Linked DNA regions of Canis lupus familiaris. The protein of the gene in region 1 interacts with the protein of each later gene in a pairwise test. Links are inferred from orthologs where the notes say so. Each region holds a gene or a part of one and is shown on either strand. Other genes may lie near its edges.

What was found. The genes of interacting proteins can lie anywhere in the genome.
Region 2: the proteins of PRKAB2 (region 1) and CSNK2B interact in a two-hybrid assay, tested with the Homo sapiens proteins (2 studies listed by BioGRID and IntAct). The link is inferred for Canis lupus familiaris from reciprocal best matches to the Homo sapiens genes PRKAB2 and CSNK2B.
Region 3: the proteins of PRKAB2 (region 1) and GRN interact in binary tests that used the Homo sapiens proteins (3 or more experiments, as listed by UniProt). The link is inferred for Canis lupus familiaris from reciprocal best matches to the Homo sapiens genes PRKAB2 and GRN.

Annotation. Positions count from the first base shown.
Region 1 is NC_049238.1:58,294,247-58,298,800, forward strand, and holds the start of PRKAB2 (5'-AMP-activated protein kinase subunit beta-2), read right to left. Parts: upstream 3,187-4,554; 5' UTR 3,020-3,186; intron 3,015-3,019; exon of another isoform or gene 2,931-3,014; intron 2,739-2,930; 5' UTR 2,714-2,738; coding exon 2,558-2,713; intron 1-2,557. UniProt on the Homo sapiens protein: Non-catalytic subunit of AMP-activated protein kinase (AMPK), an energy sensor protein kinase that plays a key role in regulating cellular energy metabolism.
Region 2 is NC_049233.1:1,286,568-1,291,350, forward strand, and holds the start of CSNK2B (casein kinase II subunit beta), read left to right. Parts: upstream 1-1,550; 5' UTR 1,551-1,640; coding exon 1,641-1,689; exon of another isoform or gene 1,690-1,768; intron 1,769-1,779; exon of another isoform or gene 1,780-2,187; intron 2,188-2,287; exon of another isoform or gene 2,288-2,440; intron 2,441-2,563; exon of another isoform or gene 2,564-2,711; intron 2,712-3,032; coding exon 3,033-3,115; intron 3,116-3,850; coding exon 3,851-3,953; intron 3,954-4,511; coding exon 4,512-4,627; intron 4,628-4,783. Other genes in the region: GPANK1 (G patch domain and ankyrin repeat-containing protein 1), read right to left, coding at 40-650. UniProt on the Homo sapiens protein: Regulatory subunit of casein kinase II/CK2.
Region 3 is NC_049230.1:18,957,058-18,961,506, reverse strand, and holds the start of GRN (progranulin), read left to right. Parts: upstream 1-1,216; 5' UTR 1,217-1,369; exon of another isoform or gene 1,370-1,539; intron 1,540-4,449. UniProt on the Homo sapiens protein: Secreted protein that acts as a key regulator of lysosomal function and as a growth factor involved in inflammation, wound healing and cell proliferation. Regulates protein trafficking to lysosomes, and also the activity of lysosomal enzymes.

The DNA.
Region 1 (4,554 bases):
ATAGGACTGTACTGTATCAAGTCAAAATGTCACCAAATAAAATAATGTGGGTTAAAAAAAAGGATTAACTTATTCACATGGGCTTTACTTTCAAAATGGCTAAGGTAGTCTACTTTCCATATTGTCTCTCAATATTCCTCAAAACTATACTAATGAGACACCAGTAACAGCATAAACTGAAGTAAACAGAGAATTGAAGGGACTTTCTCACCTTATGTAAGGAAGTGACTTAAGTGAAAACCTTGATCTCCATATTCCTAAAGGAATGCACCTTTGTCTGACTGGCTGCATTAGAATTACAAAAATTTTTACATATGCCTAAGAATAACTCAGATTCTGGTTTACATATGGGACCTAGGAACCTGTTTTTAAAAAGCTTCACAGAGAATATTATTACTGTGATTATGTTAAACAAAGGAAAAAACCTCAACTTTACAGATACATCCTAAAATATTTACAGATAAAATAATATTTGATAGGATGTCTGGAATTTGTTTCAAAATATTTGGTAGGGGGAAGTGGACTGGCATAGGCATGACATAAATTTGTTCAAATTTAATCATTGTTTAAACTGGGTGATGGGTATATAGGAGTTTACTATACTACTCTAACTACTTTGAAACATGGAAAATGTCTCTAATTTTCCATACAGTGTTTAAACAAATTTTAGGTGATTCTAATGTGCAAACAGGGTTGAGAACCACTGACCTAGTCCACTGAAGAGGACTGGCATTTGAAGCAATGTTGACCCCACTGCCACTGTTTCTATGAGTCACTTTGATGATTTAGTATTTTCAATTTCGAATTTGAAAGCTACAAACTATTAACATGCCCGGCTTTGGAAGAAAGCCCTTCCACATATGACATGACATTTCCGTGGCAGGCCTGAGTGCAGCTGACTAGCAGAAAGACCATTTACTCCAAGTTAAATTGTCAGCAAAATCATTATGAAAAGAGGCAAAACAATGAGAACTACAGTTTGAAAATATTTAAGTAAAACAATGAAGGAAGAAGTAAAGAGACTAGATTGAGAACTATAAAATTTTACATGTATAAGAGACCTTAGGAATTATCTGAACCAATTTTCTTACTCACAAATGGCAAGACTGGGGTTAGGGAAGGAAGGAACCAAAATAGGCTCCATTTCAGATGGAGCAACCTGGCTTTTATTCAGCACACCAATTATTGCAGTCAGAGTTTGACAAATACACTGTACTTAAATCCTGAGTCATTGACATAGGAAAAGGGTAAAATTAGGAGGTGGATCACCTTGAGAAAGCTTCTAAGGAAATTCAAAATGACTGGCTAGATGGCCCAAATGCTGAGAAAGAAGTTCTAAAGTGGGAGAAGGAAGAAAGGAATGGAGACGAAACCCCAAGATGGTGCTTTTAACCACCTTCACTTCTTTTTCTGTAGTTATGTTTTCAACTGGGATTCAAGAAAATAAACAGAATCCAAATTTCATGTGCTACCAATGGGGCAAATCATTTCTTTACTCCCTAAAACCCCAATTTGGTGAAAGGTTTGAAGTGATAAAAAAAAAAAAAACATCAAACACACCTGAATCTCCTCAATCCCTCCATTTTTTCTACTTCCTCCCACTCGGACTGCCTGGAGGGATTATTGTTATTTCATGCTGACAGCTCTAAATGGGACTAGAAATATTCGGATGGTAATCCCATTGCAGTCAACTCCATCTAATCTACGGGTGGGCACAAGTTGCCGCTTTTCTGGAAGTCCTTGGATTTGAGAGCAAGGTCTGCCTGCCCGGCAGCTGCGGGTTGTCCGTTTTCAGCGATGGTAACATCACGAATTCCTACTGGAAGAGGAGAAATCCTGGATCGTTTGCTCTCCCAGTTGACCAGTAGCTGGGTGTGAAGAAGGAAGCACCTCAGCCAACCGCAATATAAAGGATGAGATGAACAACTGAGCAGTCAGCCAAAGGAAGTCCTGTACTGATCTCCAAGACGAGGAGAAAGTATCAAATAGGCAAGTGGCTGCTGCTCACAATCCTGCCAAAGGGGAAGAGGATCCGAAGTGCTGGGTTCTTAGAGGAGCAAAAATGATACTGATACCTACAGGTTATCAGAAAAAAAGAAATTCGTTTGCCTACCTCAGGGTAAACCTGAGAAACTGTCTCAGATGATCAGCCACTCAGGCAACCTACCGTCTTTGAAGTTTTCTACCAGGGTCTATAGGGTTTACAACCCATAAACTCATCACTACTCTCCAAGAGGGCTCCTGCCTGTTCGGAAAACCGGGGATGGGTGTGTGTGTGTGTGTGGCGTTGTGGGGGGGGGGGGGGGACGACTCTACAGTCCCCATCGTAAAAATATGGCCAGCAGGTCAGGCGAACGACAGAAACCCCGCCTCTATAGTATTTCGAGGCAGCGCCGCAGGCGTCAGTTACCCTCCAACATCTCCGTCCCCCCCCCCCCCCCCCCCTCCCCAGCCCCATCCCTTTAATTCAGAAAACCGTAACGTAGGTCGGTGGGATGAGGAGGAGCCCGGAAGGGGAGGGGGGCTGGGCCGCCGGGGCGCGCGCGGGGAGACTCACCTTGGGGTCCGGCAGGCTGAAGACGCTGGGGTCGTCCGTACTCCCCACCATGATCTTGTGCTCCTTGCCCGGCGCGTGGCCGCCGGCGCCCTCGGCGCGAGAAGCCTTGGCGCCGTGGCGCTCGCCAGCCACCCGGTCGCTGGTGGTGTTTCCCATGGCTGTAGCTCGAGTCGGGGGCCACCTGCCGGGGCGAACCACGCGGGGCTTTAACACCCGGCGGCCGCGTCAGGGACGCCCCCCGCTCCGCCCCTGCGCCTGGGGACCCGGGCCAGGGAATCCCCGCCCCAGGGAAGCCGTGCCCGGGGTCCCCTCCTTCCTCGGCCTCCGGCAGCGCCCGCGGCCCCCCACCCCCCACCCGCCACCCGCCACCCGCCTCTCGACGCCCGCCGCTGGGGAAACCCGCTTCGGGGAACTCCCCGCATCCCCGCGTTCACTGCCCGGGGGAGCCCCCACCCCAGTCACCTCCCGCGATGCTCTTCCTCCTCCCCTAGCCACTCGCGAGATGGCTGTTCTGCGGTTACGTCCACCAATAAAGTTATTGAAATTGAAGCCGCGCCCCGGGCTGGAGATCCGGGTTTCCTCCTAAAATGGCTACGAGGCCAGGGGCGCCAGGCCCGCCCCGCGCGCGTTCCCTACGGCCGCGCGGCGACGGCTCCCGAGCTCGCGGCCTCTCTAGCCGCCGCCGCCGCCGCCTCGGTGGTGGGCAGCCTCTCGCGCCAGGCGGGGGCGCCCGCTCCGCGTTGGCCTCGGGCTGGGCGGGGCGGGGCGGGGCGCGGGCTCCGCCCACCCGACCCAGAAACCCTGGCGCGGTCAGCCGCGGGCCGGCCTTCCGGAGCAGACGGGCTCCAGGGACCGCAGGGCCGCCTCCCGGCCTCAGGCGCTCCGTACCCGGAGAAGCGGCGCTGCCTCCTTGCCGCCCGCCTCACCGGGCTTCAGGTTAAACAGAACGTTCTCTGGGCAACCCGGACAGGTGGGTTCCTCCAGGGATTTAGAAACAGAATTTCCTCCTGGAATCAGAAGGAAGTAGTGGCGACTGCTTGAGGTACCTTCCAGCTGGCTGCGGTGGGGAGCAGCCTCGACTGGGGCCCCAGTGAGGAAGGAGTAATTAGGCGAGAAACCTTGACAGATGCGTGAAACTGGTCTGAAGAGGAGGAGAAAGCTATTCTGAGCTAAGAAACCGCGAATGCAACGAGCAACCCCAAAAGAAATGCCATTTGAGGAAGACCAACAAGAAGAGAAGGAACAGTGAGAGCAGAAAAGGACAGAGATTGTCCTCGGGTTGGAACGGATCTAGGTTTTTGCTGATGATTAATGGAACGTGTATGGTATTTACTAATTCATTCTTTGTGTTATAATTATGTGCTTTTCCGATTCCCTAGCGGAAACCGTTATCACTCAATGTGTGTGACACAGACCAGCAGCTTTGCCATCACCTGGGAGCTGGCTAGAAGTGTAGAATCTGAGGCTCTATCCTACAGGATCAGAATCTGCATTTTAACAAGATCCTCAGGGGAATGTGTATACATATTAAAGTGTCAAGCACTGCTTTGAAGGCTGGCAGAGAGCAAGTCTAGTTTTGATTCCTCTTCCTGTTCTGCATGCATCTTGTCCGGAGTAAGCTTTTAATAAATATTTGCACAGTGAAGGGTATAATACCGTTTACTACATTTCTAACAAGATAATACCACTTAAACAAACAGCGATGGGGGAATGCCACGTCGTACAAGGCCACCCTTTTTGAATGAACAGCTTTATTTTGTTGAAAAGCTTATTTTTCATAAAAAAAAAAAACCATACACTTAGGTTTGACAAATTCGCTTCTCTGCCTTTTGTCTTTCCTCTGCCCTAGTAAACTCAGAGATTCTCTGGTTCTTTTTTTTTTTTTTTTAAGATTTTTATTTATTTATTCATAGAGACACAGAGAGAGAGAGGCAGAGACACAGGCAGAGGGAGAAGCAGGCTCCATGCACCGGGAGCCCGACGTGGGATTCGATCCC
Region 2 (4,783 bases), on another chromosome or scaffold:
CACACTGAAAGATGGGCATGGGTTAAGGCTTCCTCTCACCGGTTCTCTGGATTCCTCGTCTCTCCGTGGCTCTCTCGGACCATGCGCGCCACCTCAGGAAAACCCGCTTCTTCAGCCAGCTGAGCAGCATCCTTGCCACCCAGCTCACAGACACCCACCCAGGCAGCTCCACGGCCCAGGAGATAGCGCACAGCAGCCCCCTGGCCTGCTCGAGCAGCACACATCAGGGGGGTCCACCAGAAGGCATCCCGAGCATTGATATTGCCCCCCGCTCCCCCTGCCTCGTGGGGATCCAAGAGCCTTCTTAGTTCTGCTAGGTCACCCTCCTGGGCTGCCCTCAGTATCCAATGGGTCATCTTGTCCTCTGCCTCAAGGGATCTCCTTTGTCCATGTCCTGCTGAGGCTCCTACAGCAGCTTCCCCCATCATTCTTCTCTTCTTCCTCTTTCTTTTCCTGTCAGGTTCAGGCTGAGATCTCTGGGATGCAGGGATGCTGCTCTCTTCTGCAATCAGGGCCTCATAGAAAGCCCGGGCTGCAGCCCCATTCAGGGTGGGCTCCAGCTCTTCAGGCTGTGACTGCTGCTGCCCATCTTTCCAGAGGTCACTGGGGTTGGTGGCCGGGGTGAAGGTGATGAGGGAGGGCCTGGACATGGCTTTTGGGAGAACTGAGACAATGAGACTAATTAAAGGGCGTATGAGACAAGCAAGCCAATCCCTTGGTGGCTCTGCACTGACCAGAACCACCTCCACAGATCTGCTGGGATGAGGAAAAGTAGCCTTTTCCAAGTCAAAAACCCGTCTTATACTCTAAGTGACCCCACAACCTAGGACCCTACAGGGCCTAAGGACCATAGGTCATGTGGAAAAACAGGGAGCCATACAATAACAGCCCATATCCCTCGTAAAGGTTAACTTAACAAAGATTTAATGAGAATTGCCCAGAGGCCCATCCCTATCCTCACCAATAAGTAAAAACAGCTTCTCTCTCAAACTACTTGATCACCAGGTAAGACGTGCAGTTAAGAAAACAATCAGCCTAGCCCTTTAAATCTTCCTTGATCCTATGTCAGGGTAGGGTCTTTCCAAACAAAAACAGACTTTTAACCTTCTCCGGATGCAAGAAGAAGATTTGGGGGAGAAACTCCAGTCTCTGTGGAGACCCCACAGGGTCTCTGTACCACAAAAATTTTATCTAAGCAAAGGTGCTGCCAGTCCAATAGCCACACGACCCAGACACACATGTGTGACTGAAAAAAAAATCAACCACCACAAAGCAGAACTTGAGGGTGCGGGCGTGTGCGAAGCGCCAGGCTGAGCCTTCGCACGGTGGGACCCTCCAGGATGCCACGTGCCCAGGCAGCGCGAGGACAGAGGCTCTGTCGGTTGGGGTCCTACTTCTACATAACGCCCCACAATGCCCTTCGCCTCCCGGAACGTGGCCCCCCACTCCGAGCGCAGTTTTTGGACCTGCGAAACCACCGAGTTAAGGAGGGCTCTGAGAAGGCGGGAGGAAACCTGTGGAATGCCCCGAAGCCGTGAAGTGAAATAACGTCACGCCACCCCTCACCATTATTCTGAGCAGGGTTCGAAGGTCACACTTAGTGCCCGCAGCAGAAGGCCCCATTCAAGCTCTGAGAGGAGATGGAAAAGTGCAAGGGGACGAGCAGCAGAATGGCTGGCGCCACTTCAGGTTAGCGCACAGGCCGTCCCAATTCTCACACCGCTCACCTCAGCCCAGCCCACTCTTCCCACGTCCCGCAAGCAAGGAGCCCGGCCTCACCTCCCGCCTGAGGAGACTAGACCCCGGGGTGAAGCACCGGCCCGGGTGGGGCCTCCAGTGGCGGGCCTGACTCTGGCGAGAGGCTCCGCAGGCAACAAGGACCCGGTGGGGTAGTCGGGGACGAGGTCAGCACCCTGGGCTGCCGGCAAACACCTGGGGCAGAGCCTCGCTGTGTGAGGGGAGTTGCAGGAATCCAGCCCTCCAGCCCCGTTCCTTCCCCGCCCCCTCCCGGCCCCTCAGTTGCGCGACCCTACGACTCTATTTCCCATACTCCCTGGCCCAGAACGGGGTACTGCGCTTCCGCTTCCGGTGGTATCCCGCTGCTCCCCACCCCCGAGCGTCTTGTTCCTGGGCCTCGCGACGCCAGGGTCGTTCGTGGGTCATCCTGGGATTCGTAGTTCGCCTGTTCTTCGCTTCGCCAGTTTCTCTTTACCTGGGACTCCATTTCCCGGCGTTCACTGCGGCGCCCGACCCTTGGCGCTTGCGCGTTGCCCTCTCCCCACCCTCCCCAATTTCCACACACACCGCCCCCCGCCCCCCCCCCCTCGCTACTTCGCCTGCCGCGGTCGGGTCCGCGGCCTGCGCTGTAGCCGTCGCGGTTCTTTGGAAGCAGCAACTCCCCTCCCCCACCCCGGTCCCGGTCCCGGTCCCCGCCCAGCCGGTGAGTCTGAGGTCGTTGCCGCATCGAGTCTTCCGTCCTTAGGCGCGGCACATGGGGTCTCCGCGCGTTGGTGTGGGGGTGGGGAAGGAAGTGACCCGGTCCGGCACCGGGGGAGGGAGGGTTGGCCTGAGAGGCGGGGTGTGGGGACTCCTGTGAGAGGGACCCAGGGCCACCTCCAGGTCGTGAGGGGAAAGGGTCCTGGCTTTTGCTTGGAAAGGATAAACTTCGGAACCCTTGGGAAAGGTGTCGGGGACATGCGGAGACCTGCGGGGTAGGGATCTCGAGCCGAGAGCCCTGCGAGGGAGGGACTTGACGTAAAGAGGAGAGGGTGCTGGTTTTCGGGATTGTTAGGGGTGTGGGTAGGACGGGTGAGCCTAGACCTGTCGGTTTTTCAGAAGTGGTGGGACTCCAAAGAGCCTCTAGTGAATAAGAGGAATTGGAGGCAGGTGCGCCAGGGTCTAGGATCCTTTAAGAAAAGGGGGCTCCAAATTCTTCCATGGTCGGGGAGCAGAGTGTGGGGAGGAGGGAAGGTACCAGAGACAGGGTGGGGGAGCTTGGCCTTTGTTTACCCTCTTTTTTTTTTTTTTCCCAGCTGACGTGAAGATGAGCAGCTCAGAGGAGGTGTCTTGGATATCCTGGTTCTGTGGGCTCCGTGGCAATGAATTCTTTTGTGAAGTGAGTTCTCAATCTCCCAGCTATGTCCGCACAAAGTTTGGCTGTATGTTTTTCCACATATTTAGCTTCTACTTCTCTTACAGGCTGTCATAGAAACTTTTTCCTGTCAAGGAAGAGTCCCTTCAGTAACTCCCCTCACTAATTTGTGAAGTGGCAAGACTTGCCCATCCCAAGCCTGTTACTGTCCAGCGGTGTAATATTGGAAAAGTCAACTTTATTACTACTACTACTACTACTGTTATTCTTATTATTATTGCTAGGCTTGTACTAGTAGTGCTTAATTTGGGAGCCTATTAGGATTAAAATGCCGTTTATCAAAATGTTTTGTAACAGGCAAAGTTTTGTGCTAATGATATAATGGATTATAACTGCCCACAGGACCCAAGCTGTTTAGTCGCTGCTTTTCTTAGAGTTCTAGCTGCCGGTAAGGAGAGGACAAAACTGGTCTGTAGAGATGGGATCAAGAATAGGAACAGGGATTTTAAAAGGAGTGTCTCGTTAAGGAAGAGATTGTTGTAGCTGCTTATCCTTAGGAAAGAAAAGCCAGAGCTTTTATGGGAAGGCAGTGTATGTGAACTGGGGAGAGAGACTCAAGGATTTCTGCTGAGTTGGTGTGGGGAATTAGGGAAAACAGAAGCAGTTGTGTTGGAAACAAGGCACCAATTAGAGCAATGTGCCCAGATCAAAGCTGAGGATTCTGCTATGGGTTTCTTCTTGACTTCCACATCCTGACAGGTGGATGAAGACTACATCCAGGATAAATTCAATCTCACTGGACTCAATGAGCAGGTGCCTCACTATCGACAAGCTCTAGACATGATCTTGGACCTGGAGCCTGGTGAGGCATCCTCGGGGTTATCTTTGTGTGTGTGTGTGTGTGTGTGTGGTTTTTCTTTTTTCTCCCAAATTCCTGTTGATCTGCTTCTTGAATTTCTAAATTTCCTTTTGGTTCTCTGATTGCTTTTGTCCTAAGTTCTGTACTTTATTTTGCTCTCTCATCTGACTTTTGCCTGGATTTGTGACAGCCTCATTCTACACTCTGATCCTGTAACTTGGCTCTCTCCCTTAATGTTAGTTTCCTCATGGATCTCATTTCCTGCTTACCTGTCTTGCCTTGCACCTTTCAGTCTAGAGTTCCAGCTTCTATGTTGATCTTTTTCATTTATGTGTTGAGAGAGTTGGGAGGGAGAGAAGAGAGTAAAGGCTGAAGAGGTATAGAGAGAAGGCAGAGCTGCCTTGGGTGGGTGGGTGGAAGGGCCAGAGGCCCAGGTTTCTGGGTCAAATGCCCAGGTGATGGGTGGCGCAAAGATGAGTAGCCAGCAGCCCCTGGAGGTGGATGGGGCACCTAAGAAAGCTGTAAGACAAGTGATTGCAATTGGCTGCGGCCATGTTTCAGATGAAGAGCTGGAAGACAACCCCAACCAGAGCGACCTGATTGAGCAGGCAGCCGAGATGCTTTATGGATTGATCCACGCCCGCTATATCCTCACCAACCGTGGCATCGCCCAGATGGTGAGGCCTCTCTGCTCCCACTTGACTCCTCTGAGGTAGTAAGGGAAACAGGTTCTTGCAGCAAGGAGTCACGTTTTCAAACTTGTCACAGATTATAGCTAAGAAGAGGGGAAGAGGGCGCCTGGGTGGCTCAGAGGCTGAGCGTCTGCCTTCGGC
Region 3 (4,449 bases), on another chromosome or scaffold:
CCCTCTGCCCAAGCTCTTTGTTGAGCCTGTGGTGCTCTCCATCCACACTGTACCACCAAACACTGCCTGTCCCCCTAGCCTGGCACTGGGCTTTCTCTGGGCCTCTCCTCTTTCCTGGTGCATCTATCAACCATTTTTGGCCTGAGCCAAAATGGCCTTTTGGCACGGAGCAGCCTGGCTCTTGTTGCTGGCCAATCTGTTCTGTGTAGTACCTTTCTCTCCTCACCGGTTATTTCAATTCCTGGAAGGCAAGGCTGACTCTAACGAGGAAGCCACTTCCACTATGCTCCCACCCCCAGCCCAAGCCTCGTGTCAGGCACCCAACAGCTCCTCAAGCCCACTACGTTGTACTTGGCATTTAATCCCTGCCCAACGCTGCTCTTCCCATCTGGTTTCCTAATGCTCTTCCTAACACCCCCTGCTCAGGAGCTTTGCCAACCCCTGTCCACCTGCCAGTTAACATTCTCCCAGGTTCAGCTCCAAAAGGTGTCCTTAAAGGGGCGCCTGGGTGGTTCACTTGGTTGAGTATCTGCCGTTGGCTCAGGTCATGATCCTAGGGTCTAGGATCAAGCCCCAGTCCAGCTCCCTGCTCAGCAGGGAGTCTGCTTCTCCCTCTCCCTCCGCTCATGCTCGTTCTCTCAGATAAATAAATAAATAATTTTTAAAGTGCCCTTAAGGTAGAATTAAATCTTTTCCTCCCTGCCAAGAGCCAATCTTCCACCTCTGCCCTACACACATCCATTAATACCTGGCACACGATCTTGCACCTTAAATTAGATTGAACGTGAGCCTGTCTCATCTCTCTACCCACTCACACCCGGCCAGGAGCACCCTGAGGAAAGGGCCTGAGAGCTGTCTATCCTTGCCCTCACAACCCTCCCTTCGGGGCCTGGCTGCCCAGCATTTATTCTGAGTTCGTTGAATACAAAAGAAACAGGATGCACAGGTGTCCCTAACCCAGAAGCAGACATCCTGTAAACGCCCTGGAGTGCACCCCCTAAGGGGCAGCTCCCTTCGCCGGCCAACGCACTCCGGGGCCACACCACCTCGGGAAGACTCCGCCAGGCGCCCGCAGCCCGGCCGAGCCCGGCCAGGACGTCACATGATTCTCCAATCACATGATCCCATAAAACAGTGGAGGGGGGAGGGTGGGAAGCGAGAAGAAGGGAGGGACGACCGCGAATTGAGTAAGAAAAAAAAGCAGAGCTTTGCAGGCTGGCCCCGCCTCTACCGTCGAGCAGCAGCCAGTAGGAGCGCGACAGCCCGGACGCCTGGCCAATGGGAACGGAGGTGGGCGGGCCGTCGCGCCGCAGGCCCTAGTCCCGAGCTGCCCGGCCCGGCTTCGCAGCGAGCGCGGGGCCGGTCACAGGTAAGGAGGGTGGCCGCGCAGACCTCTCGCTTCCTCGGCAGTTCGGCCGGGCGGACGTGAGGGCTTGAGGCTCGTCTGGAGTTTCAGCCGGGAGGCAAGAGAAGACTGGCTCAGAGAAGCTCCTTTGGGGCTTTCCGATGCACAGGAGGCAGTTTTACGGGGGGCCGGGGGTAAGCAGTGATTGCAGTGACCCCCACGAGAAGGGGGCTCTCTCCCTCTCCAGCGGCTCCGGAAGCTGCAGCCCCTTCCCCAGAGCAGGGACCACCCCATTCTTGAGCCGGCTCCGGGCCGGTCCGGGTGCTGCTGCTGGTGCTGCTGGTGCTGCTGCTGGTGGTGCTGGGTGGTCCCCGGGGCACTGGGAGCGAGAGAGGCGCGCGCCCTGGTCCTGGAGCTCAGAGGGCTGCGAGTGGGCTGGTGGCCCTGCCCCCTCCAGGGTAGCAGGGCCGGGGGGGTGGTGACCGAACGCGGGGGTTGGGTCTGCCGCTCCCGTACTTCCTCTCGTGGGGGGTGGGACCAGCCAACTTCCGCCTCTCCCGGCCACTTTTCCTGCTCACTCGCAGTTGGGTTGGCTCACCTTTTGGGAATCTCTCTCCTGACGCTGGGAGTTGGGGGCTGCCACCTAGTGGAAGATGGCAGAGCTGGGGGCTTGGAGAGGCTCCTGTCCCTCTCTACCTTGGGAGTGGGGGGTGGCGGGAGAGAGGTCATCCTTGGTTGTGAGTGTGTGCGCGCGTCTGTGCATTGGTATCCACTAGAAGCACACGCTGTACTCCCTAACTTTAGGATGCCAAAGACTGCCCCGTGGTCCCAGATTTGTGCAGACAGGCACCTCTTCCGGCCTAAGCCAGGACAAGGGACAGCCTACGGAAGGTTGAGGTGTGACTCCCAAGAAGTAGGCGGGACGAGTCTTGCCTGGAGCTGTGAGTGTAGAGGAGAGGGTGAAAGGGGCCAAGGTATAGGACCAGCCAGGCGGTGTCCCCTGGAAACGGTCTCTGAGCTGGGACTGGGGCCGCGAAGAGAGCCAGGTGAGGGAGAGAAGGATGCAAGTGACTGGCTGGGTGTAAGTCGTCGCCACACCCAGTGTGCAGTGTCCACACAGACTCATGGGGGAACTGAGGCCCCAAGACAGCAACTTTTGAGGCTCTCACCATCAGTGGTGGCAATTCTAGGACTAGCACCCCAGTGCAGTATCCAGCACCCCTGTGCTTCTCATTTCTGTCCTGCCTTGTCCACCTGCTCAGAAAATGCTTCTGTCTCCCTCCTCTGCTTGGACCCCAGGCCTCTACTCTCCTGGGGTTCAGGGGTCCATTCCTGGGCACTGTGCATGGTGCCACCTGGTGACATGAACCCAAGTCTGGTATGCTTTGTAGCTCTCAAAGCCTGTCATCTCCATGACTGGATATATGACAAGGGCATGTTACCGAACTTCTCTGAGCCTCAAAGTAAAGGTAATTAGTACTTTGGATGGCTGTTGCAAAAAAGAAAGAAAATAGGATAGAGTATTGTAACTGGCCCGGGAAAGGCTCAACAAACTTTTTTTTTTTTAAGATGTTATTTATTTATTTATTTATGAGACACAGAGAGAGGCAGAAACACAGGCAGAGGGAGAAGCAGGCTCCTTGCAGGGAGCCTGATGCGGGACTCGATCCCCAGACCCTAGGATCACACCCTGAGACAAAAGCAGACACTCAACTTCTGAGCCAACCAGGCATCCTGAAGCTCAATAGACATTACTAGTCTTGCCCCTCCAGGCAGGGTAACATCTTCTGGGCCCATCCCATTGAACTAGTAGGGCTGGCTGAGCTTGGAATACTCATTTAGGAAGTCAGAGGTTACTCCCCAGAGACTCATGATTGGTTTCTTCTGCTAGTGCAGCTGTGTGAGTGCATGTGATCTTCTTCCTGTACTGCTGAGTTTCAGCTTCCGGGTAGGGGGTCGGCAGGGTTTGGGGGTGGTATGTTTGGGGAGTCTTAAAGGGCCTGGTGGTGTTGGGGGAGCCCAAGGGCACAGGTGTCTCAAAGGCTGGCCCGGCCTGTGCACCCCTTCCCTGGGTGGTTGGGGACAGCTGGGGGGGTAGGTATGGCTGGCCTCTGGGGTAGGCAGCCCAGATTCCACGGGCTACCACACTTCCCTTTTTTTTTTTTTTAATTTATGATAGTTACACAGAGAGAGAGAGAGGCAGAGACACAGGCAGAGGGAGAAGCAGGCTCCACGCACCGGGAGCCTGACGTGGGATTCGATCCCGGGTCTCCAGGATCGCTCCCTGGGCCAAAGGCAGGCGCTAAACCACTGCGCCACCCAGGGATCCCCACACTTCCCTTTTCATAACTTTCTCAACACCCTGGTTTCCCACGTCATCATGTGACACCCCTCCCCCACCCCACACAGGGAGGCTTCTGGAGGGGCTGGCTGGGGAAGTGGAACCCCAGCTTTTCTTCAAAGGGGGACTCCCTCTTTGCCCCCCAGCCCAGTCCTCCCATGGCCACTGATGCCTCACCCACTCCCTGGAGGTGCCCCATGTCCCTACAGATCAGACCCACAAACCCCACAAATTTTCCTTTCACAGACTTACATCTTTTTTTTTAAGATTTTTTTTTTTTTAAAGTATTCTCTGCACCTAGCATGGGGCTCAAATCTACAACGTCAAGATCAAGAGTCACATGCCTTGTTGACTAAGCCAGACTGGTGCTCTCATACGCCTACATCTTTACACACTCACCCACAGATGGAGACATTTGGCCACATTTTGGGGACACAGATCGACACACATACTTGGTTGTTTTTATCTTTTTTTAATAAAACAATATTTTATTAATTTATTTGACAGAGAGAGCACAAGCAGTGAGAGTGGCAGGCAGAGGGAGAGGGAGAAACAGGCTCCCCACTGAGCAGGGAGCTTGACACCAGGCTCCATCCCAGGAGCTTGGGATCATGACCTGAGCTGAAGGTAGACATTTAACCAAGTGAGCCACCCAGGCGCCCCTGACATGCATCCTTGTGTCAGCACTTCTGTCCAGGTGCTGTTACACATATGATGCACATGCAGGACACATATAGGAAGCTGGATCTTGGGCCTCACATCT